Linked DNA regions of Saccharomyces cerevisiae S288C. The protein of the gene in region 1 interacts with the protein of each later gene in a biochemical or structural test. Each region holds a gene or a part of one and is shown in the gene's direction. Other genes may lie near its edges. The genes, in order: SSM4 and UBC6.

Region 1 (17,218 bases):
ATTAGTTTATTTTTCATTTTTTTCCACTTTGCTTCCCGAAAGCCAAACTTGGTCATTGCGAACGAGTTGCGAAGCTTGTCCGTCAAGAAGTATTAGTTATAGTACTATTAGTACAGATGATACTATATAAGGTATATCGTGTCGTATGTTCAAATATATTGGGATATGATTTCCTTTTTTCTCTCTTCCTATTTGATGCAGTATTCCAAAAGAAAAAGTGGGGATCGAAGGTGAGACATAACGGAGTTATTTACAAGCGGAATAGGAAGGAAAAGGAAAAGAAAACAAAAGAGTACATCGAAACCAATCAGGTGAATTGTCTAGAACCCCCGCGCACAAACTCCAAGATCTTCCACCCTTCTGTTTCGTCATCGTCGATTTGCTCTGGGTCTCTGGTGAAAACCATGGCATAAGAGCTCATCAAGATATTAGCTTCGTCACCAGCCGCAATCTCGCCAGTTTTCTTTTTCCTGTAAAGGTTGATTTCTTGTGCTCTACACCCGACCACCAAGACTGGGATGTCTTGGGGAGCCAATAACTTTGCACTCACTATTTCAACGCCCCTGATATCTAGGATACGGCCATCGGCGTAAACATCCTGTTCTTTGAAGATTTTCTGTTGGGCGGCGTAAACATTGAATGGCGCCTCGCTGAACCATTTTTTGAGAACTTTGACATCGCCTTTCACATACGCTTCGAGAATCTCGGGAACAATGTATTCTCTTAAGTGTCTGGTGAAGCTTTCGTTCGAAAAGGTTGGGTCCATTAGCTTAAATTGACTGTAAACACGGGAGGATTCTGTTTCTGCAAAGAAACCGCCCACTTTGTTGGTTATTTTCCTCATGACAACAATTAAGGGGTTTTCACTTTCATCCCACAATTTGTTCTTTAAAGATTGTATAGAACGGCCAACCACGGTTTTCTCCTTGAAATCCTCCACTTTCTTACCAAACGATTCTTTAGACTCGATATTTGTCGCAACCACTGCTGTTCCTGCATCTTCATTGCTCTTTACTGCCCTGTGTCTTTTCCCAGAGGCCAGGTCTCTCTCACGTTTAAGTCTCCTTTGCTCTTTCGTGATAAACCCACCGTATCGGGAACTCTCCCCATCGTCAATGACTTCTGAGACTTCCTTGTAAATCTTCGTCTGTCTCACTGGCTCAAAACTCTCATCCAGCTTCTTCGCCGTGGCGGCAGCCGCCTTTCTTGTGTTCTTACCGAGTTCGGACTCCCAGGCCTTAGTGGCTATATGTTCCATGGTCTCACCGGTCTTTTTCAGAGTTTTACCCACAATTGTGGAGCCTCTCTGAGCTTTCAAATATGCTTCCCTAGCCTTTTTGTAGGCCTCAGACTCGCCTAACTTTCCCGAAGCATCTTGCAGCGTCTTTATGTTCTCCTGCAGTTCCTGAGACTTCTCCCATTCCTTCTTGAATGTATCGCGGAAAATCTGGAGTGGTGATCGAGGGTTTCCACCTTGCGCACGGGTCGTAGAGGTGGAGAATAATACTCGGGCAACGAGTAATCCTGTGTACTGCGATCTGTACCTTGCGGTTAGTGTCCTAGAGCTCGTGCCGGACGTCCTGATAAAAGTGGATCTGTGCATGAACTGAAATAGCAATTGCTGCGGTAGTGAAAAATTCAGGAATAAAAAAACGAAACACTATAAGCTCGGTCCTGCCCTCTTATCCCAACTTTTGCTTACTTGCGGGCTTATTATACTTGGTACTTTCAAACCTGGTTCCGAAGCCCATGCTACTCAACCAGTCTTCTTTGACATATATGACTGAGGCTCTCCAGTGGGCGAAAAAGAAAGAGAAAAAAACACCCGGCCGGGTAACTGAACATGGTTTTCCGTATGGTTGCTACCGTTACTAGTATTTACAGGTGAGAAGTTTACTTATCGTAAGAAGTAGCTTGAAAAGCGTACTGAAGAAGTACCTAATCATAATGTTCTAATTTTGTTTTATTAGTCGTGGTGTTCTTTTCTTTTTGTTTCAGCGTCGTTATTTAAATTTTATGTTATGGCCAAAAAAAGAAAGTTTCTAAAAATAAATGAAGAAAAGGATACAACTCAAAAAGTTATCATATAAAAATACTAAAGTAGGTCTGTTCAGATATTTCGTTTCTGAATTTCTTCTAATACACAATTTATACGTAATTTAGTAGAATTTCTGCGGAGAACCAAACTGTGCCAGTTCTTCCAATATATAGTTTTCCGGATTATTATTCATTCCCTTTCCATAGAACAGTAAACTGAAAAAAAAAAACGTCTTAGGAAAAAGGTGGAAAAGGAAAGAAGAAAATAAGAATGAAATAGAAGGAGAACAGAAGCAGAAAAAGCATGAAGGCGTCGCACATTTGCTCTTATTTGCTAAGCATTGCACCCCTAGTGGTGTCCCATGGAGTACATCATAATCGAGATCATGGCCACGAGGCAAACCATGAGTCCAAGCAAAGTTTCTTGATTTTGAAGCAAGAATCCATTTTTTACTCTCTAGTTTGCTTTCTGCAGAACCACCTCTTTGTCCTGGGACCCCGTTACAATGCGATTGTGGCTATCCTAATCATACAACTTATGCCGTGTCTTTTCGTACTGTTTGTTCCTGGACTGCGCAAGAACGATCGTGCCAGCTTGACACTGTCCTTACTAGTTTCCTTTTCTCTAGGAACACTCCTGGGTGATATTTTATTACACGTGATACCTGAAAGTCTCAGCGGCGTAACTGATGTCACAATGGTTGGAGGAGCCATATTTCTGGGGTTTATAAGCTTCTTGACTCTGGATAAAACGATGCGTATTCTGTCAGGGACGTCCAACGATGACGGCAGCATACATTCTCATTCTCATAGTCATACTCCACAACAAACTGCAGAGAAGAAAGCGGGCTTTAACATGTCTGCGTATCTGAATGTCATATCCGGCATTGCTCATCACATCACGGATGGCATAGCGCTGGCTACGTCATTCTATAGTTCCACACAAGTTGGCATAATGACCAGCATAGCTGTCACTTTCCATGAGATCCCTCATGAGCTAGGTGACTTCGCCATTCTGCTTTCCAGTGGGTTTACGTTCCCACAAGCGATAAGAGCCCAAGCGGTGACAGCTTTCGGCGCCGTCGTTGGAACGTCCATTGGCTGCTGGATGAACGAAATCGGGAACAACAGCCATAAAGCAACGTCTTCATCCGCGAACGCATCTGAACTTATGCTGCCGTTCACGGCGGGCGGCCTCATATACATAGCCACTACTAGCGTTGTACCGCAGATCTTACATAGCTCCGCACCCGATAGCAAGCTTCGAGAGTTTAAGAAGTGGGCCTTGCAGCTAGTCTTCATTTTTGTAGGATTTGCCGTTATGGCGCTCATGGATGAGCATTGATTCAGCTTTGTATTACTTGGCGTGCAATATACGTACCTTTATAGTAAATATCCTTGTTGCCTTATATGGTACCGACGCTTCCCCGGATTTCAATTAAGGCAAAAACAGGCGATAATCAGATCAGATCAAACATTTATCTCTGACCTAATACAAAAAAGAAACACAAACAAGAACAGTATTGATCGGTTTAAAGGCGTGCACAACTGTTTTAAAGATGTCCAATTTTTTACTTGTGATCCCTGAAGACGTGATCAAGGGCTGCTCCAAGGCAGATAAACTAGTTGTTACAGGAGAATTCGATAACTGGAGACATTCCGATTATGTTCTGCAGTATGACGGCAGCACACAGAACTACAGGGTGCAAATTCCCAGAAGAAAGGGCCAACGTAGCACCATGTTCAAAGTGGTGATAAACGACAAAAAATGGGTCACTCTCAACTACTTCGACACTGTCACAGACAAGTCAGGTTACACCAACAATATTCTCCACTTTAAGGACAATGAGGCCAGTCAACTCATGGATATACCTCTATCACCACATACACGGTCCAACACCGCAAAAGGGAAACCGGAAGACGACTCTTTAAATGATTATGTCAACTTGTCGTCACATAGTGACCTAAGCAGCACAGAGGAGATAGTGTGCTGGAATTCTGATATGGAGGACGAAAACATGGATGCAACCATCCAGTGTGATTTCCATCAGGCGTTCAATAGCAGGAAAGAGTCTCTAAATGGGCTAATGTGCATTGCCAAGAAAGTCAAGACGTACTGGAACAAATAGACAACTTTTTCAAACATGTTTCTTTTATGACAAATATATATATTTCAATTTTCTCTTTTCTATCTAGCTATGGTTTAGATATACATATTTTTAATAGATTTATTCCTTTTCACTTATATCACAAGGTGAGCATCTCATTTCGTGGAATAATCATCGCTGTTAGCCGCCGAGGTACACAGGCTCCAACAGACAACGGCAAAAGATCTGGCATTATTACTGCTTATGTAAAAGAGGAAGATCAATTTAAAAAAGGAAAAGGAAGGGGTTTGCGTATTGGTACATTGCAAGCAACTAAACGTCTAATCGACTCATCCTACGAAGCTCTGTTTTTAAGCATTTATTGTCTATCCTCATCAAAGCAAAGTTTCGTAACGAAAAAAAAAGCAGCCTGCTACCGATAGGAGAGTAAATTAAGGTCAGCTAGACGATTAGCACACAAGTTAGATAGTTGTGCTTTATCCAGCACAGCATGAAGTAAAGCTCGTACTTATCCTGCCTAGAACTTATTCTATTACTCTCATCTCTGACGGCAACGCGACGCGTGACGCGTAAGATAAGATGATTCTTTTGTTTCCTTTCCTCTATATTGATTAAAGAGAACAAAGCTTCAAGTAAACAAAAATAATAAAGAAAGGCGATTGACCTGAGAACAAGAGCTCGGACGAAGGTAACATGACTGCTGTGCGTCGCTCAACTAGAATAAGGACTAAATCTCAAGTTATTGAGGAAGATTACGATGACGAGCAAAACACCAGCGCACAACACGTAGAATCTGATAAGATCACTGCCAAAACGCAACATGAAGAAGAAGAAGAGCAAGATACTGGTGAAAGTGAAGAAAGTAGTAGTGAGGATGACTATGAAGACCAGGATGATGATGACTACGTAGATACCGCTACGGCAAAGAGAAAGTCTAGAAAGAGAAAGCCCAAATCAGCATCAAATACCAGTAGTAAAAGGCAGAAGAAAAAACCTACTTCTGCCCAGAAGTCGGCGGTATCTCATGCGCCTGCTTATCACCGCTCTAAAAAAGATCAGGATCAATACTTAGAAATTGCGAAGGATTTCCAACCTACAGAATTGTTTGATATATTATCCACTTCAGAAGATGTTTCTATTGAAGAACTATTGCGAGAATGGTTAGAAACCTATTCTGAAAATAGAGATAAATTTTTACAAGAATTTATCAATTTGCTATTGAATTGTTGTGGCTCCGTCGCTCGCGTCGAAGACCACGACGTTCACAGCAATGAATCTTCTAACGAAACGATTGGTGAAATTCAGTTGCTATTTCAAAGACAGAAACTGCACGAATTTTACCTCTTGATTAGCAAGGAAAACAAAAAGAGAAAAAACTTTAAAATGGGTCCCCTTTATCAAAATTTCGCGGAATTCATGACTAAATTGTTGGAAGTGGCAAATGACTTACAATTACTATACGTGGAATCGGACGAAGATGATACCCAAATAGTTACTGGTAATCTTGTGTTGGATTTGTTGACTTGGCTGTCTTCTTTTTCAGTTTGCAAAATCAGATGCTTCAGATACATTTCTACGCTAACGCTATATCTTTTCCAGGACTATTTGACCCAACAGGCTGTTAATTTAGAAAAGAATTATTTGGCGAAGTTATCCAAGCAGTTATCACTAGAAGAGAAGAAAAAAAGGCCCAATAACAAGACTTTAGAAAAGCTAGAGAGCACTATCGCCGAAACTCAAGGCAGCAAAGTCGTTATTGATAGCATTATCGATAACATCGTCAAACTATGTTTTGTGCATAGGTATAAGGACGTGTCTGATTTGATTCGTTCAGAATCCATGTTGCATCTATCCATCTGGATTAAAAACTATCCCGAATATTTCCTCAAGGTTACATTTTTAAAATATTTTGGCTGGCTGCTGAGCGATAACTCTGTATCAGTCAGATTACAAGTTACGAAGATTTTACCGCATTTAATAATCCAAAATCATAACAGTAAATCCACTGATAATTCCGCTATACGCCAAGTATTTGAACGCTTCAAAACTAAGATCCTGGAAGTGGCAATCCGTGACGTTAATCTTGATGTAAGGATCCATAGTATCCAAGTTCTAACGGAGGCGTCATCATTGGGCTATTTAGATGATTCTGAGATTCTTATCATTTCTAGTTTAATGTTCGATGAAGAGTTCGACCCATTTAAAACATCCTCATTCAATAAAAGATCCAAATTTCTATCCACGGTGGCCAAATTCTTAGCAAGAGTAATAAAAGAGAAATTTGACGAATTCATCAAGACGCATGAAGACTTGCCCAAAGAAGTCGACGGGTTAGAAGTTGGACCCGTTGTTCAAGTCGGTATATTTATCAAGATTCTGAATGACTCTTTAATTTATCACTTGAAGGATTGCGCTGAAGTTGATTCAAGGACAAAGATCCGTATGCTAACACAAGCAGCAGAGTTTTTGTCTCCTTACATTTCCACTCACTTGAAAACTATTTGCAATCTGCTGATCTCTGACACTGAATCAAATGAACTGATCCAAAAGTTACAAAACTCGGCCAATAATAACAGCGATGACGAGGATGTTGACGATGAGGAATTGGACATCACTCCATTGTTTCCCATTGACAGAAATAGCACTATTTTATATCTGAACGTATTCCACGGTCTGTGTGCAGGTGCCAACAACCCCAAAATCCAAACTAAGGACAGCGTTAAGGAAATAGTTTTGCCTTTATTCTACGATTTGTTGAATGCCGCATCCATCGAATCTGCTGATATTCTGTGTCCTCTCCTAGAGAGCTTTATCACATTTTCTCTGGATGATTGGATATCTATTGGATATGAAACTGAATTAAAAAAAATTACCGACAAAACTATTAAAGCATTTATGGATTCTACAATCGGGAATTCAAAAGTTGACATGAAGTACGATATATTTGCTAAATTCATTCACCATATCCATCATTTTGAAAAAAAGGAACTGCAGGAAAAATTTTTAAACCAGATAGCTACATTGAAAATTCATTTAAAAAAATTTCTACAGGAAAAAATGGATCCAAATAATTCTAGGGACGACTACAAAGATTTAACTTGTTCTTTGTACGAGCTCTACATCAATAAACTGACAATTCTTGGCAGGGATTACCCAATCGAGGTTGATGAAGAGTTGTTGCAACTGTTTTTGAACAATTTTGTTTCCCGTATCCCTATAATGTTTCAAGATTTTGATGATAGTACCGCTCAAGAAATAAACTTTAAAATGCTAGTGTTATTAGCCACATGGAATCTGGAAAAATGGAGAGAAATAATAGAGAAAGTAAGGGATTACGAGAATTCTATTTCAAAAGATCTTAGATCAGTTTGGAAACCAATTGCCGCTATAATAGGTCGTCTAAACACACTCGTTATTTCATTGGCGGCTACAAACGAAACATTTGAAAACATAAACAGCTTGTTTTACTTAAAATGGTCAGCTTGCACTTCATTAATGGATATAATCGTTGCAATAAAAATATTTGAGCTCAAATTGCCTGCAGACGCTACAACATGGAGATATAGTATGAGTGAACAATTTCCATTTTACCTTCACGATAATGCTTCCAAAGTGCTTTTGAAAATATTTTTATATTTGGAGAGTCTTTTCGCTAAGCAAGTTGACGTCCAATTAGAAAGGGTAGCAGATGAAGACGCCAACCTAAATGATTTGCCGGAAACCGGGTTTTTCGAGAATATTGAAACTGAATTCCTTTTATTCACAGTTAAATTGAAGGGACTAATGAAACTGAATATTTTAGATGAACGATTTGCTTCCCGTGTGGCACTAAACAAAGAAAAGCTTGGCCCGCTGTTCAAAAAAATCGTAGATGATACCATAATGGAAAATCCAGAACCTAATAAAAAGAACATACAGAAAGCAAAATCAAATCAAACACAGAGGGAAAAAGCGCCTTTACAACCCAACAGTGAACGAGAAACCGACCATGCAAATACTGAAAATAATGATCCAGATATTCCCATGACAATCGATCTAGAACCTATTGAAGAAAGTTCGCAAAATAATTCAGAGTTAGCACCAATTGAGGAACACCCAACCGTGGTAGATGCTATAGACAACAGCGACGAAATCACACAAGATTAAGGGAAAAGATATACGTCAGACTTATTGCTCTTTTGTAAAACAATAAGATCTATAATATATATCACATCTTTCTTTTGAACATACATAGCTTCGTTAGCAGTTTTTGATTAATCATAAATACTTCAAATATCCCTTCGCATTAGACTATACTCGCTGGATGATATTCGGCTATGTATTTTCCAAGCCCATTCAATCGTCATCAAAGCGCCCTTTGCTTCTTCGAAAACTCGCGATGTAAACGCAGCGCAGAAAAATCTACTTTTGAATATAAAATAAAGTCAACTCAGATAGTTGTTATGCATGTTAATTGTAGCATCTAAAAAGCGATCGTAATTAAGCCCTACCGAGATACAAAAAAGCAATTATCAAGAGATGTCGTTTGTTTCCAAGCTTCTCTATACAGTCTCTGCATTGGTGTTATTTCATTCTGGTTTCTCAAGCTATGAGTTTCATCACTTATTAAAACTTAACTCGCTTAATAATGCACAAGGTGCAATCAGCAAGTTACCTAAAGATATCATGTATGAAACGTATGCAGGATTGATACTCTTTGTTCTTGCAGTGTTCACTTCGTTCGAGAAATTACAATATTTACCAATTGAGAGTAACGATGGGAAGATAATATCCCAAGGAAACTATCTAAAAGAAATCGCATTAAATAAAGCCACCAACGTGGATAACTTGATAGGAAGTAACCCTAATGGTGAGATCATATTTACTCCAAGCTTTGTTGACGTTCATATGAAGAGAAAAATTTGCAGGGAATGGGCCTCTAACACTGTAAAAAAAGAAAAATAAATAAGATACTGAAAACTAGAGCTAGAACTTATAATTTCATACATATATACATATCAAGATCTAATAAGAGGATTAGCTAGATTTTGAGCATAAATTCGATAGCGAATCTACTCGAACATCGTAACTGCACAAAATAAGGCGTCAGGTGACCAGGCACCTCTTCTATTTACACCAACACAGACGCCTTTCATAGAGGAATAGAAAGCTATATTAGAATCACCAATAATGCAAGCGTCTCCTGTGTTCTATAACGTGAACCATAAGCTTGAGTGGTTTCAAAAGGATTACGGGGCGGATAGTATCTTTTGCGTCTTCGTTGGATAGTTTGTTATTAAGATACATAAATACACACTAAATTTAGTGGTAAAATCTTCTATTCAATATTATCGAGAGTCTCGGTTTGAGGGCTAACACTCTAATGGATAACCGTTCGGAATATTTCTATTCCAGTTTACATAGTATAAGTACGATATTCATCCTCATGTTAGCGTAAGTGGAACTTGTTCAAATCATCCTGAGGTACAGACAAGCCCTTATTGATGATTCATTCTGTTATTTCAGGAACAGGTAATAGTTCTCCACCACTTGAACGCCCATGCTAGTTGTAAGGTGCCGTATAAAGGCAGTTATGATATCATGTATGCGTTTATTATAAGTATTATCGCCTGCAGAAATAACAAAAGTGACACATATTGGTACAGGTACTAAACCGATGCTAACCGTACTAAAACAATTTACCACCCGGCTCGAGTTTTTTATTCTTCACAAACTTTTTCTGCATTTAATTGTGATGAATAACGAATAACTATTTCCTTGATCACCTCAGTAATCGCGAAACGTGCATTTGTGGTAGCAACAGTTTTAATGACAGTAGCATAGCCTATTGCACCTCCACATGAAGAAGCTACCAGTCCACCGCCAGAAATAGACAAAATGGTAACATCGCTTACATTAATTAGCCCTAATACAAAAGGTTGCCATTTGCTAATTTGTTTTGGTCGTCGAAAACCATTTGTGTCGTCGTTAACCTTTCCATTTATTATTCCAGCAATAAGAGCAAACCCCAATGAGACAGTACAAGCTGTAAGGGGAACATGCCCTATTACCAGCCCAAATGACCAATTGACTAACCAATCACCACACACACCCGCAGCTGTGTTGCGTGCGACGTTACCCAATGTTATGGTAATGGCTTGCTATATACTGACTCGTTCAGGTGAATAGAGAAAACCCGTATCACCGTAAACCCATCAGTGACCGTTTTAATTACCACAGCTGTTGCTAGCGAGTAAAAACCCTTTTCACCACTGGTATATAATATGTTCATCGTAAACAACCAATTGGCAACTATCCGGGAGGTCACGGCTGCGCTGCATACTTTTAAAACAGCTTGACGTGGATTAGACCAATTCACCATACGTTTGGAAAACATACTGGCCATTATCCAAGGTGTAAGTATAACGTCAAAGCTGCAATCAACTGTAGAATCTCTTCCTAACACATTTCTATATAACGCAACCAACATTATCATTGGAAATGGCATACAAACAACGCGTCTGAATAACCTTGCATCGTCCATGTTATTGCCTTTTCTACACCACGCAGCACCTCTTTAATGCAGCAGCCGTCACTATTTGCATTGACGCATGTCTTCATCCTTGAATGCCTGGCGATAGTATAGGTAAATTAGTTAAATACAGCTTTGAGTAATTAGGCATGTACTTCCTCTGATTTAGTGACAGGTTCAATTGTTAAAGTATTCCCATTAGGCCAAGTTAAAAAGCGAAATTTATTTTGTTTTACAGATTTCCATTGAGTTTTTATGCCTAAGGGCGTGTTTTTTCAGCTCGTAAAATCATGAAGTTGTAGCACGCTGGCTCACCATGACAATTCCAATGGTGCGGTTCAATCAATTCACTGAGGTAGAATGGTGGACCATGATATTCAGAAATAGGTAAGTCCTGAGGTAATGATTAGGATTTAACTGTTGACTCTATTATAAGGTATACAGAATATACTGGCATAAAACAAGGATCATTAACACGCTAAACAGGGTGTTGTTTAATATCATGAATGCGCAAATAAGCCCTTTTTGCTGCAGCAAACTTTATGTACCAAGATCTTAAAGGGACTCGTTACCAAGATGCGAGTGAGTAGTCTATTATTAGAGAGTAGATCAGCTTCCGCCGCTTCCTTTTTTAACGGGAAAAAAAGTAGAAGCTGGGACAACTTTTTCGCTGCCAATAATAATTAAAAAGAAGGACCCTTTTTTCATTATAGGTATATTTGTTAAATATTTCCATTCCTAAGACAATCAACAACGCAGTTATGCAAACCATCAAAGAGGGCAAATGAACTATTCCCGCTCTTCGTAAGGATGCTGTATTACCGCCGTTAGCCATCAGAATTACTATAAAAACAATGCGGTTAATTTTCATTGCGAAAATGCTTCAATATTCATTTCTACCATTTTCCCCGTTCAATCTTTTGAATTTTGATAATAGTATAAGCGTAAGCTGGTTTATAACATACTCAGTGATCGTTTCCATTTGGGGGTTTGCTGTGTGGATTGAAGGAGCATATAGGAATAAGATTAATCTACAGCTTCCAAGATGTACGAAGATAAAATGCTCCCGCTACAATACGAGAATAAAATCCCCCAAGTGGTTCAACTGTAAAAATTGGATGCATTTTTTCCTATTATACCTTTTTCTAACCGCTTCTAACTTAATTGTTCAATTGGCCTATTTTTCAAAAGAAATGTGTAGTCAGGGTATAAACGTTCCTGGAACGAAGAAACCAGGTAATAGAGTTTATTTATCGGTTATCATACTAATGGGGAACGGGTGATAGAACTTTTACCAATGAAAAGAAATCAGCAGGCCATAATTTGGCTTTATTAAAATTAATAACATTATGGTGCTGTTGCGTTTATTAAAACAGACTAAAGCTGTTGGAATGAAATTCTAATGTTATCTATTTAGTAGTAATAGCATCACATGCGGTGTAAGAGGATGGCGTAAATTATGAGAAGCTGTCATCGAGGTTAGAGGAAGCTGAAATACAAAAATTGATAATGTAATAGGAGAATGAAACATATAAAACGGAATGAGGAATAATCGTAATATTAGTATATAGAAATATAGATTCCATTATGAGGATTCCTAGATCCTCGAGGAGAACTTCTAGTATATTCCGTATACATAATATTATAAGCCTTTATCAACAATGGAACCCCCAACAATTATCTCAAAATTCACCCATATCTTAATTAGTAACATGAATAGTACTAAACAGATGATATTTTAAAGTTTCATTCCAACAAGCATCTTAAATGTGCTATTACTTCCTAAAATAAGTAGTTTTTCCAACGAAATAGCCTTGTTGGCGCAATCGGTAGCGCGTATGACTCTTAATCATAAGGTTAGGGGTTCGAGCCCCCTACAGGGCTATCTTTTTACCATTTTCAATTCAATAGAAAAATTAAATCATTAGAGACGGAAAACTGGTTGAAAACGCATCGATTGAGGACATTGAAAAGATGATTATGACCGATCTATGAAGCCATAAGATTACGTTAAGAATAGTTCTTTGTTACTGATTTCAAAAACTGTTTTTTTAGCCAAGAGTACCACTAATTGAATCAAAGAGACTAGAAGTGTGAAAGTCATGGATGTTGATTCTGACGTTAATGTCTCCAGGTTAAGAGATGAACTGCATAAGGTGGCAAACGAGGAAACAGATACCGCCACTTTCAATGATGATGCGCCATCCGGCGCCACCTGCCGTATTTGTCGTGGAGAAGCTACTGAGGACAATCCTCTTTTCCATCCTTGTAAATGCAGGGGCTCAATTAAATACATGCATGAATCCTGTCTGTTGGAATGGGTAGCTTCAAAAAATATAGACATTTCAAAACCAGGCGCGGATGTTAAATGTGACATCTGTCACTATCCCATTCAATTCAAAACGATATATGCGGAAAACATGCCCGAAAAGATACCTTTTTCTTTACTACTATCCAAGAGCATCTTGACATTTTTCGAAAAAGCTCGTTTGGCTTTAACGATTGGTTTGGCCGCTGTACTATATATTATCGGTGTTCCTTTGGTATGGAACATGTTTGGAAAATTATACACCATGATGCTAGATGGATCATCCCCTTATCCTGGTGATTTCCTAAAGAGTTTGATTTATGGTTATGATCAGTCAGCAACTCCAGAATTAACCACGAGAGCAATTTTTTACCAACTTTTACAAAACCATTCGTTTACGTCTTTACAATTTATTATGATAGTGATACTACATATAGCATTGTACTTTCAATACGATATGATAGTAAGAGAGGATGTTTTCAGTAAAATGGTTTTCCACAAGATAGGTCCAAGATTATCTCCCAAGGACTTGAAATCACGTTTGAAGGAAAGATTCCCCATGATGGATGATAGAATGGTTGAATATTTAGCGAGGGAAATGAGAGCTCATGACGAAAATCGTCAAGAGCAAGGTCATGATAGACTGAACATGCCAGCCGCAGCAGCAGATAATAATAATAATGTTATTAATCCCAGAAACGATAACGTTCCACCTCAGGATCCTAATGACCATCGGAATTTTGAAAACCTTCGCCACGTAGACGAATTAGATCATGATGAGGCTACGGAAGAGCACGAGAACAACGACTCTGACAATAGTTTACCATCAGGTGATGATTCGTCACGAATTTTACCGGGGTCTTCAAGTGACAACGAAGAAGATGAAGAAGCAGAGGGGCAACAGCAACAGCAGCAACCAGAAGAAGAGGCAGATTACCGTGATCATATAGAGCCCAATCCGATTGACATGTGGGCAAATCGTCGTGCGCAAAATGAATTTGATGACCTAATCGCTGCTCAACAGAACGCAATAAACAGGCCCAACGCTCCGGTTTTCATCCCACCACCTGCCCAAAACAGAGCTGGAAATGTCGATCAAGACGAACAAGACTTTGGCGCAGCTGTTGGTGTGCCACCAGCACAGGCTAACCCAGACGATCAAGGACAAGGCCCTCTAGTGATAAATCTCAAATTGAAATTGTTGAATGTCATTGCTTATTTCATAATTGCCGTAGTTTTCACCGCAATATACCTGGCAATTTCCTATTTGTTTCCAACTTTTATTGGGTTCGGTTTGTTGAAAATTTATTTTGGTATATTTAAGGTTATTTTGCGTGGGTTGTGCCATCTTTACTACTTGTCTGGCGCTCATATAGCTTACAATGGGCTGACGAAACTGGTCCCTAAAGTAGATGTCGCGATGAGTTGGATTTCAGACCACTTAATTCATGACATCATTTATCTTTACAACGGCTACACTGAAAACACCATGAAGCACTCAATTTTCATCAGAGCTTTACCTGCTTTAACGACGTATCTAACCTCAGTCAGTATCGTTTGTGCTTCATCCAATCTTGTCTCGAGGGGTTATGGCCGTGAGAACGGAATGAGCAACCCTACTAGAAGGCTGATTTTCCAGATTTTATTTGCACTCAAATGCACTTTCAAGGTGTTCACTTTATTTTTCATCGAATTGGCTGGATTCCCCATTCTAGCTGGTGTAATGCTAGATTTCTCATTATTTTGCCCAATCCTGGCATCCAATAGTCGGATGCTTTGGGTTCCTTCAATATGCGCAATATGGCCTCCATTTTCCCTTTTCGTATACTGGACGATTGGTACTCTCTACATGTATTGGTTTGCCAAATATATCGGAATGATTAGGAAAAATATCATTAGACCAGGTGTTCTATTCTTTATCAGATCTCCAGAAGATCCTAATATTAAGATCTTGCATGATAGTTTAATTCATCCGATGAGTATTCAATTATCAAGGCTTTGCTTATCCATGTTTATTTATGCGATTTTTATTGTCTTAGGTTTTGGCTTCCATACTAGAATTTTTTTCCCATTCATGCTCAAATCGAACTTATTATCCGTTCCTGAAGCTTATAAACCAACATCAATTATTTCATGGAAGTTCAATACAATTTTGCTAACTTTATATTTTACGAAGAGGATCCTGGAGTCTAGCTCTTACGTTAAACCCTTATTGGAAAGGTATTGGAAAACAATTTTTAAGTTATGTTCAAGAAAATTACGTTTATCATCCTTTATCTTAGGTAAAGATACCCCAACAGAGAGAGGCCATATTGTTTACCGCAATTTGTTTTACAAGTACATTGCTGCCAAGAATGCAGAATGGTCAAACCAAGAACTTTTCACTAAACCAAAGACTCTAGAACAAGCAGAAGAATTGTTTGGGCAAGTTCGTGACGTTCATGCTTATTTTGTCCCCGATGGCGTTTTAATGCGTGTTCCTTCTTCTGATATAGTATCCAGAAATTATGTACAAACAATGTTTGTCCCCGTTACAAAGGATGATAAGCTGTTGAAACCATTAGATTTGGAAAGAATTAAAGAGAGAAACAAACGTGCTGCTGGTGAATTTGGTTATTTAGACGAACAAAACACGGAATATGATCAATATTATATCGTTTACGTCCCTCCAGATTTCCGTTTACGCTATATGACATTGCTTGGCCTGGTTTGGTTATTTGCTTCCATTTTAATGCTTGGTGTTACATTTATTAGTCAAGCTTTAATAAACTTTGTTTGTAGTTTCGGCTTTCTTCCAGTCGTAAAGCTATTGTTAGGTGAAAGAAATAAGGTCTATGTTGCATGGAAGGAACTCTCTGACATTAGCTACTCCTATTTGAACATTTATTATGTCTGTGTCGGATCTGTTTGTTTATCCAAGATTGCTAAGGATATTCTTCATTTTACAGAAGGCCAAAACACTCTCGATGAACATGCCGTTGACGAAAACGAAGTAGAGGAAGTGGAACACGATATACCAGAGAGAGATATCAACAATGCCCCTGTTAATAATATCAATAATGTGGAAGAGGGTCAAGGAATTTTCATGGCCATCTTTAACAGTATATTTGATAGTATGTTGGTGAAGTATAACCTGATGGTGTTTATAGCTATCATGATTGCGGTTATTAGAACTATGGTTTCGTGGGTCGTCTTAACCGATGGTATACTAGCCTGTTACAATTATCTCACCATCAGAGTGTTTGGCAATTCTTCATACACTATTGGTAATTCCAAATGGTTTAAATATGACGAGAGTTTGTTATTCGTCGTTTGGATCATTTCGTCAATGGTCAATTTCGGAACCGGATATAAGTCATTGAAACTATTTTTCAGAAACAGAAATACTAGTAAATTGAACTTCTTGAAAACAATGGCTTTGGAACTGTTTAAACAAGGTTTCCTGCACATGGTAATTTACGTCTTGCCGATTATTATTTTATCCTTAGTATTTTTACGTGATGTTTCTACAAAGCAGATTATCGATATTAGCCATGGATCCAGGAGTTTCACTTTATCGCTTAACGAATCATTCCCAACATGGACAAGGATGCAAGATATTTATTTCGGACTACTGATAGCATTAGAGTCATTTACGTTCTTTTTCCAAGCAACTGTGCTGTTCATTCAATGGTTCAAAAGTACTGTACAGAATGTAAAAGACGAGGTTTACACTAAGGGTAGAGCTTTAGAAAATTTACCAGATGAAAGTTAAAGGCGTTTTCTTCCTTACATTTAAAATGAATGCTAGCATATTTACATATATATATCTACATTAAGTTATATGTTTTTCCACTGTTTTATTTCTTATTGTTAGAATTATAGAAAAAAAATTTTTGTAAAACATTTCATTAGAAAAATTTACCATTCTGAATACGAAAGAACAAAATAAAAAATATGCCTATTTATGTGAGTATGTATATTACTAGTTATTTTATTGCTGTTACTATTATTATGCGAGAATGTTAAAAAAATAAAAATAAAGAGGAAAAGAATAAAAAATATAAAACTATGCGTGCGAGTGCTTTCAAGGGTCTTCATCTTCCAAGAGTATAGGATTATCTCTGCCCTCATCCCAAACAGAATCTTGAGACTGGTTATTTTCATCTCCATAATTAGAGAGAAGTTGTGCATTTGATCCCTTGCTTGTCGCGCTGGTTCTTGGAATACCCCTAGTTGGACTACTAAATGCCACATCATCAATATCAACCAACT
Region 2 (14,089 bases), on another chromosome or scaffold:
TACTGACCGGCGCCGACTTGAGAGAGGGCTACTCTGTTTTGCACTGTGAGGTATGCTCATTGTGAATTTCAAAAACTTAATAGAAGCGGTACAGCACGAAGCAACCTCCCTAGCGTGTACACCTACAAATTGAAGGTACCTTAGTTATATCCGAGAACAATAGAACTGCTTGATATTCCATCTTCCATTTCGCCGATGGATCAATCAATTTTTAAGAGAATGCAAAAAAGAAAAAGATTACAATATGTATAATTAAAAGAAGAAAGAATGTATACGGATATACGATATGTGACCAGCCGGCAACGGCTCGTAGTTATACCATTATTTACAGTTTAAAGAGATTAAGCCAATGCGTAGTGCTACTTGTTGTTTTCGCTCGACAGGAGGTCTTGCAATTGCTTAGTTAGTTTGGAAGTTTCTTCGTCCATGCTCGTGTCGGTTTCTAAGGCTTGTGGAAGGCTCATGAACTCTCTAGTCTTAAATACAAACTCTCTTGCCGTTGAAATGTCAAGTGCCCAACAAAAGCCGAATATCAATGTGCTGAACGTACCTATTGAAGCGGCGGATGCATACGTTAACGCTGACATGGCTTCATTCCTTTGGGAAAAAGGTGGAAGCTTGTAATTTTGTTGAAATATGCTGGGGACGTCTGCTTTCAGTAGACGGTGTTAGTAACTATATCCTATTATTAGTTTTGGCCACTGAACTAGGACAAAATACATACATTTTCGTACTTTTATGGCCCTGGAGATAAGCCTCATGGTAATCAGGGTGAAGGCGGCCGCACCATAAAATCTGGCCATTTGAAGAACCCTGCGTTTCTTAAGTTCCTTCTTCTCTTCGATCATAGTTTCGTTTCTTGATGAAGTAGGATAGTCGTACTAATTGCTGACAAACCCGTCAAAGAATCAAGTTCCCCATCCTAATAAGTATTAAAAGCGCCAATTTTTCAAGAGACTCGCGGCTGGTGAATAACGCTGCTCCTTAGAAAAGGACAGCCAGCGGATAGCTACTCAGATCTTCGACTGACTTTATGCATTTTAGTATTTATATATTCATTCGATCTATTCTGTTTACTTAAAAATTAAAGATGAGTTGGATGTGGAAAATTCTTGACGTTCCGCTGATATTTTGTGTTGGGGTTGTTTTTGGGACCATGAGATTGCCATGAACCGATCAATCTTGTCTCATCTTCAAGTATCTCTTCACCACTTCATCCTTCTTGATGATGTATACTACAGCTCCCCAGCCTGATAGAGCGTCACGGTCAGCAGCATTCAGTAGGGCCTGACTTATAGTTTCGAAAAGATCTTCTGGCTCTAGATTAGGTTCGTACAGGGACTCACACATACCGAACAGTTGGTCGGATGCAGTACCGCTAACGATAAAATCCTTGGCCTCGTCGATACAGCCGATTAGGTCGAATCCCGCAATAAAGGGCTTCCCGGACTTGGAATTAATACCTGCTACCACCGGCCCCACAAAGTATGGACCGAATCTTCTTTCATAAAGTGAACTTGACACTAATTGGGTAAACGTTTCAGGCTCAATGGCCCTTTCTTCCTTCAACTTATATAGGTTCGTCTTGTAGCGGAACATCTCGTTCAGAGTAGTCACGTCGGTAGCCAGACCGGTAATCCCTAAGAACACATGCCCATAGTGGAAGATTTTTTCAAACTTGTTCGACACACCTAGTGACTGGCTTCCGAGACGCAAATCACAGGCAATGGCCACACAGTCTTTACCTGTCATCGCAACGACGATACCACCGTTAATAGAACTTGGATCCGACATTTTTTTTTTATGCTTTATTCACTGTTCAATATTTTCACCACAATTCGCAAGAAACGCACTCTACTTCGAAACTACGGTTCAAACTTACTTAGCAGCTTCCCGATTTAATTGGCCTTTCTACTATGCCATAAACTCTTTCTTCCTCTCTTTTCATCGCCCCTGCATTTGCACTTTTTTGCCACCGGCAGTGCCATCCGGTCACATGACTACACCACGTTAATAGCGATCTGGCTTATCATTGTCACAGAGTAAATTAAAATGGACGGTAAATGTTGGAAATGCACCACTACCGTTCTTCAACCAATCTAGTTTAGCTATCCTGCAACAGGTGGCCTTCTTGAGCATTCCCTGAGCATTCCAACCGGTTGTATCAGTGTTTTATCACCGTCTCACCATATCCCACGACTAGGCCACACTTCGTTACCCTATGCTACGCGTCATTTCCGCTATTTCTGTCCTGGTTTGTTTACAGTACGCGTGGTGGGACCATAAAGGGGAATAGTGGGGACTGGAGAAAAAATTTTCTCAGTTACTTCTTCTATCTTCCGTAGTTTCCATATACTAGTAGTTGAGTGTAGCGACAAAGAGCAGACGTAGTTATTTGTTAAAGGCCTACTAATTTGTTATCGTCATATGTCTCAAGTTCAAGAACAACATATATCAGAGTCACAGCTTCAGTACGGGAACGGTTCGTTGATGTCCACTGTACCAGCAGACCTTTCACAGTCAGTCGTTGATGGAAACGGCAACGGTAGCAGCGAAGATATTGAGGCCACCAACGGCTCCGGCGATGGTGGCGGATTGCAGGAGCAAGCGGAAGCGCAAGGTGAAATGGAGGATGAAGCATACGATGAAGCTGCCTTAGGTTCGTTTGTGCCAATAGAAAAACTGCAAGTGAACGGGATTACTATGGCGGATGTGAAAAAACTAAGGGAGAGTGGGCTTCACACTGCTGAAGCGGTAGCATATGCTCCCAGAAAGGATTTATTGGAAATCAAAGGTATATCGGAAGCTAAGGCAGATAAGTTGCTAAACGAAGCGGCAAGGCTAGTGCCTATGGGATTTGTCACGGCTGCTGATTTTCATATGAGAAGATCGGAGCTGATTTGTTTGACAACGGGTTCTAAGAATTTGGACACTCTTTTGGGTGGTGGTGTGGAAACTGGTTCTATTACTGAGCTTTTCGGTGAATTCAGGACAGGTAAGTCCCAGCTATGTCACACTTTGGCCGTGACATGCCAAATTCCATTGGATATTGGTGGCGGTGAAGGTAAGTGTTTGTATATCGATACCGAAGGTACTTTCAGGCCGGTAAGATTGGTATCCATAGCTCAGCGGTTCGGATTAGACCCGGATGATGCTTTGAACAACGTTGCGTATGCAAGAGCCTATAACGCCGATCATCAGTTAAGACTTCTGGATGCTGCTGCCCAAATGATGAGCGAGTCTCGGTTTTCCTTGATTGTGGTCGATTCTGTTATGGCTCTATACCGTACGGATTTTTCTGGTCGTGGTGAACTAAGCGCAAGGCAAATGCATTTAGCCAAATTTATGCGTGCTTTGCAAAGGCTGGCCGACCAATTTGGTGTTGCAGTCGTCGTTACTAACCAAGTGGTCGCCCAAGTTGATGGTGGTATGGCTTTTAATCCAGATCCAAAGAAGCCTATCGGTGGTAATATTATGGCACATTCTTCCACCACGCGATTAGGTTTCAAAAAGGGTAAGGGATGTCAAAGATTATGCAAAGTTGTTGACTCACCTTGCTTACCAGAGGCTGAATGTGTGTTCGCGATCTATGAAGATGGTGTTGGTGACCCCAGAGAAGAAGACGAGTAGGTATTTGGTCTCTTGTCTCTATTTATTTACACAGGTTTACTTTCAATTCTCCTCTTTTTCTTAGGTTGCGTTCCGTACATTTTTATCTTCATTTCCATCCACTGTCTTAGATTTTTGCATATATTTTGTCATATACCTCGCAACCCTACTGCGGTCTTAACCTTTTTTTTCAGTTCTTTTAAATAACTTTCGTATTGTCTGTCACCCATGAAATATATGTATTTTTCTACTCTTCTTCCCGATGACTACTTCCTCCTGCAGGGTCCGCGCGGCTTTATCCTTTTAGGGGAGTGAAGAGAAAAATTTTCTGATATGTCGCCATCCTCTTATAAAACCAACGTAAAATACCATACACTTCTTTATGGCAATGAATTTCCTTGTCTTCGTTTCGACGTTTTTAAATTGAATAAAAAATTGTACTTGGAAAAAAGAATAGAACAATACTTTTGCTAACAGCAAGAGAAGTACGGTTGACATTACGAGTATCCCTTTGTTAAAATCAGGCAGTACCCATAATGTCCATGACTATTTGCTCAAATACTCCTGGTGCATACCCTGAAATTGGAGCTTATAATGAGGTTGATAAACAGTTGGAATCAAGCGGATTCTCCTCTGATTCCTCTCTGATATTGAATAAACCAGAAGTTCGTCAATACTGGTCATCCGTTTCATCTCATATTTCACGCTCAGGTGATGTGTTTACAAATGATAAAGAAAAAATTTCATCCTCTATTGGTGAGGATGCGATGGATATCGACGCTTCGCCCTCATTGATTGAAAAATATAACTCTTTTCCCACAAGAAAGATTCTTCCTGAGCAGGACGAGTTTGAGAACGACGTTGAGGACGATGCTTCTTCCTCACTGAAGGAAAAATCACAAGGTTCTTGTGAAATTGAAATTGCTTCTGAAATTTCATCCGAAATTTTAAATGGCACATCGGCAGACGGTAATTCCGAGTTTCACGACTTCGCTGAGCCCCCTCCCTCTCAGAATGAATCTGTCGCTCTGTCTTTTAGTCAATCGAATGATTTGGACTTTTTGAATAATCCAAGCGGATCAGGCTCTTCAAACGATATCAATAGAAGTACAAGTTCCATTTCACTTCCTAGACATGTGTCACTAGATTTTAACGTTTACAATAGTCTTTGCCTCACAAATGAGGTGACTGCATCAGAATCACATAATGTGGCCAAATTTCACCTTGGCAAGAAAAACAAGAAGAGCTTGCTACCAAGATGGAAAACCATTGAAATGTACGGGGAGGTAGTTAAGAAAACTCAAGACATATATTCTAATTTTCAGTATGCACAATACATTTTAAGGGTAGGGTTGGATACCGAAAAACTACACGAACTTGTTAAGGAACTGGAGGATGAAAGCAATAGCTTCTCTGTAGATTCTTTAAAGGAATATTTAGTGAACGATGCCAAAGTTATTTTGAAGAAACTAAGTGCCGTTGGATACCCTGATGCACAGTACCTTCTAGGTGACGCCTACTCCTCTGGAGTTTTCGGTAAAATAAAGAATAGAAGAGCATTTCTTTTATTCTCCGCTGCAGCCAAAAGAATGCACATCGAAAGTGTTTACAGAACTGCCATTTGCTATGAGTGCGGCTTGGGTGTAACCAGAAATGCACCGAAGGCGGTTAACTTTTTGACTTTTGCTGCAACTAAGAACCATCCTGCAGCAATGTACAAATTAGGAGTATATTCGTATCATGGTTTGATGGGTCTTCCAGATGATATTCTAACCAAAATGGATGGTTATAGATGGTTGCGAAGGGCTACATCTATGGCTAGCAGCTTTGTTTGTGGTGCTCCTTTTGAATTAGCCAATATTTATATGACGGGATATAAAGATCTTATCATTTCGGATCCAGATTATGCTATGGCATTGTATGAGAAGGCGGCGGCTTTAGGGCATACTGAATCGGCAAGAATACTAGAAGACGCTCGCAGAAGTGGAGGGTTTGTTTCGCGAGGACATCCTCCTTCGGCACAGAAATATCATAAAACCTCCCATGAAGCTGTGGCAGCCAAAAAGTTGATTTAATAGATAAATACAAACTTCGTTTTCCTTTTATTTTGTTGTTTTTTTTTTCACAAACTGTGGAAGTTCGATTAACTTTAGAAGTTTGTTTGATCAAAAATAGACTGATCCTCACACCTTTCGTTACTATTTGTTACTTTGCTGTATATCGAATAAATAAACCTGACTAAACTCCTTCTGTTATTTAGCGCAGATCCTATATGCTGCATTTTTAGATGTATTTGAGCACTACTATCGTTAATGCCGTGGCATTGGCTATGGACCAGTTAAGTCACGGCCTTTCTTAGTTCTATCATATACGACGTTATACTTATTTACTTTCCCAGCGTTGAAATTAATGTGTCTTTTTCATAATATTTACTTTTTGGTGCGGAAATCTGTAATATTTTAAAACAAAATCTCATCCTTTTGAAAAGAAACGATGAAGAAAAAAAATAATAACATACATTGTACCTTCACTAACACTTGTAAAACAAACGCTTACATTATAATGGCACAAATGAGCAATCAGTGTCACTTCTTCCTACATAAGCATAATTCAAGTATCGGGATATAAAGCTATTATATACCGCTTAAGATAAGAGGTATACACCTCATTGATCAAATACGCAACAGCGTCTCCTTTCAGACCTTTGTGGAGTAATTTCTGCGGGTAGGATTGACTATTTTTCAAGATCAATGCCCCCTCACACTAAGACCTGTTTGCTTAGCATCATAAATGAGTTTTTCCATAATTAAATTTCAACCATAGATTAGAATTTCGTTGCGGGATAAAACTCCAGAACCACAACGATTATGCAGCAAATGTAACCTTGAACTAAACTAAGATTTTGTTAGAGCAGGTGGTTTCCGTTACTCAGACAAGAACCTATAGTAGAAATATAAAAGTTTAAGTAAAACTTTCTTGGAATAGGAATCAGCCATCATCTATCAACTAGTGTACTGATATTCATAATACTGGTATACAATCATATACGGTGCGGGAAGATGACATAAAAAATTGAGAAACACTCATCAAATTTAATGGAGGCCGAAATGCAGGGACTCAGATCGTGATAGAATAATAAACGAGAACATATAAAATGGAAGAAAAAAGAATAACAACAATATGTAGATTTATCGATTCTGTTGATAATTAGAGGTAAAAAAATAGTATTAATGAAGAAATAATTACTGATCTTCTTATACTAAATAAGAGAGGTATATAAAACACACGCCGATTGGTCATATTAATCATGACCAATATAATAGTGATTCCGGTAGTTACTATACATTGATGTGACGACTCATATTCCTCATATATGTACCTACCATAACATGTTCAACTAATAGGTGTTTAACACAGCTTCAGTATTGTCTGAGCTTCTCGTTTAACATTCCTTCTGCAATAGGCGCAATCACACTTAAACGTATACGAGGTGTACATTAATATACGATGTAAGCATTAGATTGTTACCATAGCAACTCATGTCACTATTAATTACTCTCGTTCCAACAGATTCTCCTTTTATGGATTCCATATCTCGAGGAGACTTCTAGTATATTCTGTATACGCAATATTATAGCGTTTACGAACAATGAATCCCAACAATTATTTTAAAATTCACCAACATCTCAATATGTGTTTTATGAATATTTTAGGTGGGTATTGTCATACTGACGTATTCCATTTTGAGATGCAACACATACGTGTATTGTAATCCGATATAGTGTAACGGCTATCACATCACGCTTTCACCGTGGAGACCGGGGTTCGACTCCCCGTATCGGAGTACTTTTTTGACATCATACAGTGTATGTATGGGGTTAGGAGCCACCTTCCAACAAAGCATCACGCTGTCGTATCTCAATTGTCCTTCAGCAAAAGAAAAAGCAGTTGGGCTCCTGTACGCCATATATACTTTATATGCGGTTTTTACCCCGGAAATCGCGTTTATTAATGTCAATGCGCGATTTCTATTATGGGTTGAAAAAGTTGCACTTCTGTTCCTTTCCAAACGATATACGCCCCCCCCACAAGAAAACGTTTCTCTTGCATTCAATAAGGTCCATCGAAGCTGTATTTGGAACTTCCGATTTTATTAAACTTCTAGGGGCGAACTCAACCTTTCGCTTGAACAAGCTTGAATGTGTCGAAAACCTTAGCTCGATCCTTAAAAAAGTATTTGCATTATCAGTAATAAACAGAAAATTAAAACATTTACCAAAGGCAACGAGTCTTCCATATGAAAAATGATAAAAAGATGGTTATCTGTGAATAGGAAAAAGTCACACCCGGAGAAGAACACTCAAGGTAATGACGAAATTAATCGGAAAGCAACTAGCCTGAAGAAAACGAAAGGTTCTGGAGATCCCTCCATAGCGAAATCACCAAGTGCTAAGAGTAGTACATCAAGCATACCTTCTAATCTTGCGAGCCATGAAAGAAGAAGCAAGTTTAGTAGTCAAACGGATAACCTTGCAGGAAATAAACATTACCATGAGCATTACCATAATATGGCAAGTACTTCAGATGAAAGAGAGTACGATTCCTCGACTACATATGAAGATCGTGCGTTCGATACAGAGTCCTCCATACTATTTACTACTATTACAGATTTAATGCCATATGGGGATGGTTCCAATAAAGTGTTTGGTTATGAAAATTTTGGGAATACTTGCTACTGCAACTCCGTTCTACAATGCCTTTATAATATCCCCGAATTTAGGTGTAATGTGCTGCGATATCCTGAAAGAGTAGCCGCAGTAAACAGAATACGCAAAAGTGATTTGAAGGGTTCAAAAATAAGGGTATTCACTAATGAAAGTTTTGAAACATCTACTAATAGCGGAAATTCTAATACGGGGTACCAAAGCAATGATAATGAAGATGCACATAACCACCACCACCTTCAGCAGAGTGATCAAGATAACTCCTCTTCTTCTACTCAAGAAAAACAGAATAATTTTGAAAGAAAAAGGAACTCGTTTATGGGTTTTGGAAAAGATAAATCGAACTATAAAGATTCTGCAAAGAAAGATGATAACAATGAGATGGAACGGCCTCAGCCTGTTCACACAGTTGTAATGGCCTCTGATACATTAACAGAGAAGCTTCACGAAGGCTGTAAAAAAATTATTGTGGGAAGACCGCTTTTAAAGCAAAGCGATTCCTTATCAAAAGCTTCAACTACAGATTGTCAAGCAAATTCGCATTGCCAGTGTGATTCACAAGGCAGTAGGATTACATCAGTGGATGATGATGTCCTTGTTAACCCTGAGAGCTGTAACGATGCTGTCAACAATTCTAATAATAATAAAGAGAATACGTTTCCAACAAGTGAACAAAGAAAAAAAGCCGCTTTAATTAGAGGCCCCGTTCTTAACGTAGATCATTTACTTTATCCAACCGAGGAAGCTACACTTTACAATGGACTAAAAGATATATTTGAGTCTATTACTGAAAACTTGTCGCTAACCGGTATCGTTTCACCTACAGAGTTTGTCAAAATTTTAAAAAAAGAAAACGTCTTGTTCAACACTATGATGCAACAAGATGCCCATGAATTTTTAAACTTTTTATTAAATGATTTCAGTGAATATATTCAACGCAATAATCCCAGAATGAGATTCGGACCACAAAAGACAGACAACAGCAACGACAACTTTATAACGGATTTATTCAAAGGTACACTGACGAATAGGATCAAATGTTTAACTTGTGACAATATCACCTCAAGGGACGAACCATTTTTAGACTTTCCAATAGAAGTACAGGGTGATGAAGAGACTGATATCCAGAAGATGTTAAAAAGCTATCATCAGCGTGAGATGTTGAACGGGGTTAACAAATTTTATTGTAACAAATGTTATGGTTTACAAGAAGCAGAACGTATGGTCGGACTGAAGCAACTGCCCCATATTCTGTCATTGCACCTAAAAAGATTCAAGTATTCAGAGGAGCAAAAGTCAAACATCAAACTTTTTAACAAAATACTCTATCCACTAACTTTGGATGTTTCTTCCACTTTTAATACATCAGTATATAAAAAATATGAACTAAGCGGCGTCGTCATCCATATGGGGAGCGGTCCACAGCATGGTCATTACGTATGCATTTGCAGGAACGAAAAGTTTGGGTGGCTTTTGTATGATGACGAAACGGTGGAATCCATAAAAGAAGAAACTGTGTTACAATTCACAGGTCATCCAGGTGATCAAACTACAGCCTACGTTTTATTCTATAAAGAAACACAGGCTGATAAGACCGAAAATCAAAATGAAAATATAGACACTTCTAGTCAAGATCAAATGCAGACTGACAATAACATTGAACAGTTAATAAAATGCGATGATTGGTTAAGGGATCGTAAATTGAGGGCAGCTGCAAATATTGAACGCAAAAAGACCTTGGGGAATATACCTGAAGTTAAGACTGCAGAAACCAAGACGCCATTAAATGATAAAAAACGCAATAAGCAAAAAAGAAAATCGAGAATATTGAGCTTCATCAAATAAATCGGGATTGTTTCGATACATCATATAGTTGAGACCCATCTGTTCTAAAAGTATCAATATTAGTGTACCATTTTTTCTTCCTTTTTTAAATAATTTCCACGTTTCTTTCTATTGTTCCTGATCTTTCGAATTTAGTTGTATTTCACTTCACCTACTGTAATAACTTTTTTTTTTTAGAGCACAATAAAATTTCACATATTTTCCAAAAGCAAGGGCGGTAAATCAGAAAAGATTAAGCTTTAATGAAAATCTCATAGAGACCAGATGAAGAATATTGGTGGCAGCATAAGCGCTAATACTGAATAGATATACGCATTTTTTTTCAAAATATCTGTTAGTACATTTATACAAATATATTCGTTTATACCTCTTCTTTAAACAGGCGCATGTGTAAATAAATATGAGACTGATTCTCCATTATGCAATCTTCTGATAGCTTCTGCAATCGTAGGGCTGATATCCACCTGATCGACAATGTCCAAATCCAAATCAACAGGTACCGTGTTGGTGCAAACAATTCTTGATAACCTACTATTTATTAACTTCTCCCTAGCTGAGCCAGAAAATATACCATGTGTGACAATAGCGATAACCTCCTTAGCACCGTGATCCATTAATGTGTCACAGGCTTTCACCAGCGTACCACACGTGTCAGCCATATCGTCAATCAACAAGCATGACTTACCAGCAACATCACCGACAAGCAGCATTCGCGAAACTTCATTAGCTTTTTGCCTCTCCTTATGAATCAAGGCAAAATTCATATCCAGCTTGTCCGCTAAAGAAGCCACCCTTTTCGCACCACCAGCATCAGGCGATACCAGTATCGCATTATTGAAATCTGTTTTGGTCCTTATGTAATTCAACACACTTGGTTCACCGTATAAATTATCAACCGGGATATGAAAAAACCCTTGAATTTGTGAAGCATGGAGATCCATAGTAATAACATGATCACAACCCGCAGTTTCCAAAAGATTGGCAATCAGCTTCGCAGTGATGGGCGCCCGCGATTTATCCTTCTTATCTTGTCTAGCATAAGGGAAATTTGGTATTACTGCCGTAATTCTTCTGACTGATGCCGTCTTACAAGCGTGAATTAAGATAAGTAATTCCATTAAGAAATCGTTGATTTCATGTTCCCCGTAACCAGTTTGGATGATATATACGTCTTCATCACGAATGCTTTCCCCTATTGTAACAGACGTCTCTTTATTTGAATACTGATATACCCCCACTTTAGATAACGGTACACCAAGCCTTTGGGAAATAAGCTCAGCAAGCCCAGGATGTGAGTTACCAGCTAACAACTTAATACTGTTTGTAGACATATTCAACGAAACTTACGACAAGATAGTCTTTGGATGATGAGGAATATCCTCTTCTTAGCAATCCCTCGATGCCTCCTCATATCATCTATTGTTCAAAATTTTTTCATTGTTGAAAAATAGTCACGTGCTTAACCATTTTGCTGCGCGATTTGGTAGGAGGATAAATACACGGGCATACCGTATCTGTTCAATAGCAACAATGTCGGAGAGAGCTAAACTAGCCAACTCGCCATCCTATTCCACTGGTCGCTTGAGTCGATATCCTTCCACAGCAATATTGCACTTTACAATTAGGATAGCCTCCCCAATAAAATAAGGAAATTTTGGTTATTTGTGTTCAGAAAAAGCCGAAATCGATTGCAGAGAACAGAAAGGAACTTTCCGATTATCACACTTTAGGAGCCGTGATAAAGAAGACTACCATCGCATATCGCAGAAAAGACTTTAAATATTAACTAAAACCGCATTCGCAAATTGCAAACAAAGTACGTACAATAGTAATGGCTACAAAGCAGGCTCACAAGAGATTGACGAAAGAGTACAAGTTGATGGTGGAAAACCCTCCACCATATATTCTTGCTCGCCCCAACGAAGATAATATTTTAGAGTGGCACTATATTATCACAGGACCTGCGGATACTCCTTACAAGGGCGGTCAATATCACGGTACTTTAACTTTCCCGTCTGATTATCCATACAAACCACCGGCTATCAGAATGATAACACCGAATGGACGTTTCAAGCCCAACACACGATTATGCCTTTCTATGAGTGATTACCACCCTGATACTTGGAATCCTGGCTGGTCTGTCTCAACCATTTTGAACGGGTTACTAAGTTTCATGACCAGTGATGAAGCCACGACAGGATCAATTACAACATCAGACCATCAGAAGAAGACATTAGCAAGAAATTCCATAAGTTATAACACTTTTCAAAATGTTAGATTCAAATTGATTTTTCCGGAAGTTGTACAGGAAAATGTAGAGACATTAGAAAAGAGAAAATTGGATGAGGGGGATGCGGCAAATACAGGTGATGAAACAGAAGACCCTTTTACAAAGGCTGCGAAGGAAAAAGTCATCTCGTTGGAGGAAATTCTAGACCCTGAAGACAGAATACGCGCTGAACAAGCGTTGAGACAATCAGAAAATAATTCCAAGAAAGATGGCAAAGAACCTAATGATAGTTCTTCAATGGTTTATATTGGTATCGCTATTTTTTTGTTTTTGGTTGGCCTTTTTATGAAATGAAGCCATTAAATGAACTAAACTTTAGATAAATTTTGACAACACAGAATAGAAATCAATAGTATTATATAGACAAAACGGATCTTTTTATTATGAACATTGTGAATTATTAATTATATTTTTGAGTATGTATTGACCAAGAAACCTCAATAAAAATGAGGTGAAACCTAGGGAGACAGAAACTCCCATTTCAAAAACCTTCAACTTTCATTATAAGCTTACCTTGAGCACGTTGTGTAGCCATATAGGAAAATGCTTCCTTGAAATTTTTCCAGGAATAAACCTTATCAACAACGCAATCTACGACTCCCTCATTTAGCAGCTTGCCGCATTCATGTATCCAATCATTCTTCTTGGGGATAATCTTGATATTGGGGTCAAAGTAAAAATGAGAATAATCGTATGACCATAACATTGATCCAAACATTTTTCTTGCATTGGCGCTAGGGTTATCCCAAGAATCAAAGACGTCTTTCTTATAATTTCCAACATAATCACCAACTGTTGTAATATAAGCACCTTTAGCGTGAATTAAAGAACTCGAGTGACTCAAGATATCATAACCACCGATGAAGTCCAACACGACATTAAATTTACCCTGAGTATAATCTTCGGTTTCTTTGAGAGTATTAAAATCATCATAATCTACAACTTTACCGGTATCCAACATACGTCTGAGTGGTTTACTAGATTTTCCCCTACATGACAGATAATTTATGAAAATGATTTCATCTTTCAAATCCGGGAAATGTTCTGACAGGACTGCTGCACCATTACCTGACGTTACCACTACTAGCTTTTTAGAAACTTTATAGTAACGCTTCAATAACTGGATAGCAAACATCCCTACAGAGCTTGTACCACCGTTTATTAAAACATTAGATTCTGTATTCAATTGATCCTTCTCCTTTAGTTGAGCTAACAGATTAAGTGCTGTTCCTAAACAGAATAAGGAGCCTGCTGCCTTTTCTGGTGATAGAGTATTTTTGGGTCGCATTAAAATAGGATCGACACGCGGATCAATGAGCAACGAACTTTGCAGGGCGCCAATGGCTAACTTGGGATGATAGTAAATGCCGTACACATCGTCACCCACGTTCCATCTATTTGTCAAATTATCACCGACATGTGTTATCACTCCGCTGTATTCTCTTCCAATGCCGGCTTCACCATAAATAGGCTTGGTGTAACCATTCCTAATCTTCATATCAACAGGGTTCAAACCTACATAGTTCACTTGAACTACCAGTTTGTTTTTACTTATGGGCAACTTAATTTTGTTCTCATATGAAAAAGTAATGGGACCGTGTTTAGAATGAAAAACTAATGA

What was found.
Region 2: the proteins of SSM4 (region 1) and UBC6 form a complex in vitro, tested with the Saccharomyces cerevisiae proteins (4 studies listed by BioGRID, with this or other methods).

What each region holds. Positions count from the first base shown.
Region 1 is NC_001141.2:295,550-312,767, reverse strand, and holds SSM4 (E3 ubiquitin-protein ligase SSM4), read left to right. Parts: upstream 1-12,758; coding exon 12,759-16,718; downstream 16,719-17,218. Other genes in the region: protein translocase subunit TIM44, read right to left, coding at 308-1,603; Zn(2+) transporter YKE4, read left to right, coding at 2,342-3,382; ATG45 (Atg45p), read left to right, coding at 3,597-4,166; cohesin subunit IRR1, read left to right, coding at 4,839-8,291; EMC5 (Emc5p), read left to right, coding at 8,664-9,089; EMA17 (Ema17p), read left to right, coding at 11,511-11,939; SUMO protease ULP2, read right to left, coding at 17,031-17,218. UniProt on the Saccharomyces cerevisiae protein: E3 ubiquitin-protein ligase which accepts ubiquitin specifically from endoplasmic reticulum-associated UBC6 and UBC7 E2 ligases, and transfers it to substrates promoting their degradation.
Region 2 is NC_001137.3:347,553-361,641, forward strand, and holds UBC6 (E2 ubiquitin-conjugating protein UBC6), read left to right. Parts: upstream 1-12,009; coding exon 12,010-12,762; downstream 12,763-14,089. Other genes in the region: TORC2 complex subunit TSC11, read right to left, coding at 1-60; AIM11 (Aim11p), read right to left, coding at 360-649, 725-848; PUP3 (proteasome core particle subunit beta 3), read right to left, coding at 1,177-1,794; recombinase RAD51, read left to right, coding at 2,428-3,630; SHC1 (Shc1p), read left to right, coding at 4,146-5,684; putative ubiquitin-specific protease UBP9, read left to right, coding at 7,914-10,178; ribose phosphate diphosphokinase subunit PRS2, read right to left, coding at 10,553-11,509; AST2 (Ast2p), read right to left, coding at 12,950-14,089. UniProt on the Saccharomyces cerevisiae protein: Catalyzes the covalent attachment of ubiquitin to other proteins. Functions in degradation of misfolded or regulated proteins localized in the endoplasmic reticulum (ER) lumen or membrane via the ubiquitin-proteasome system.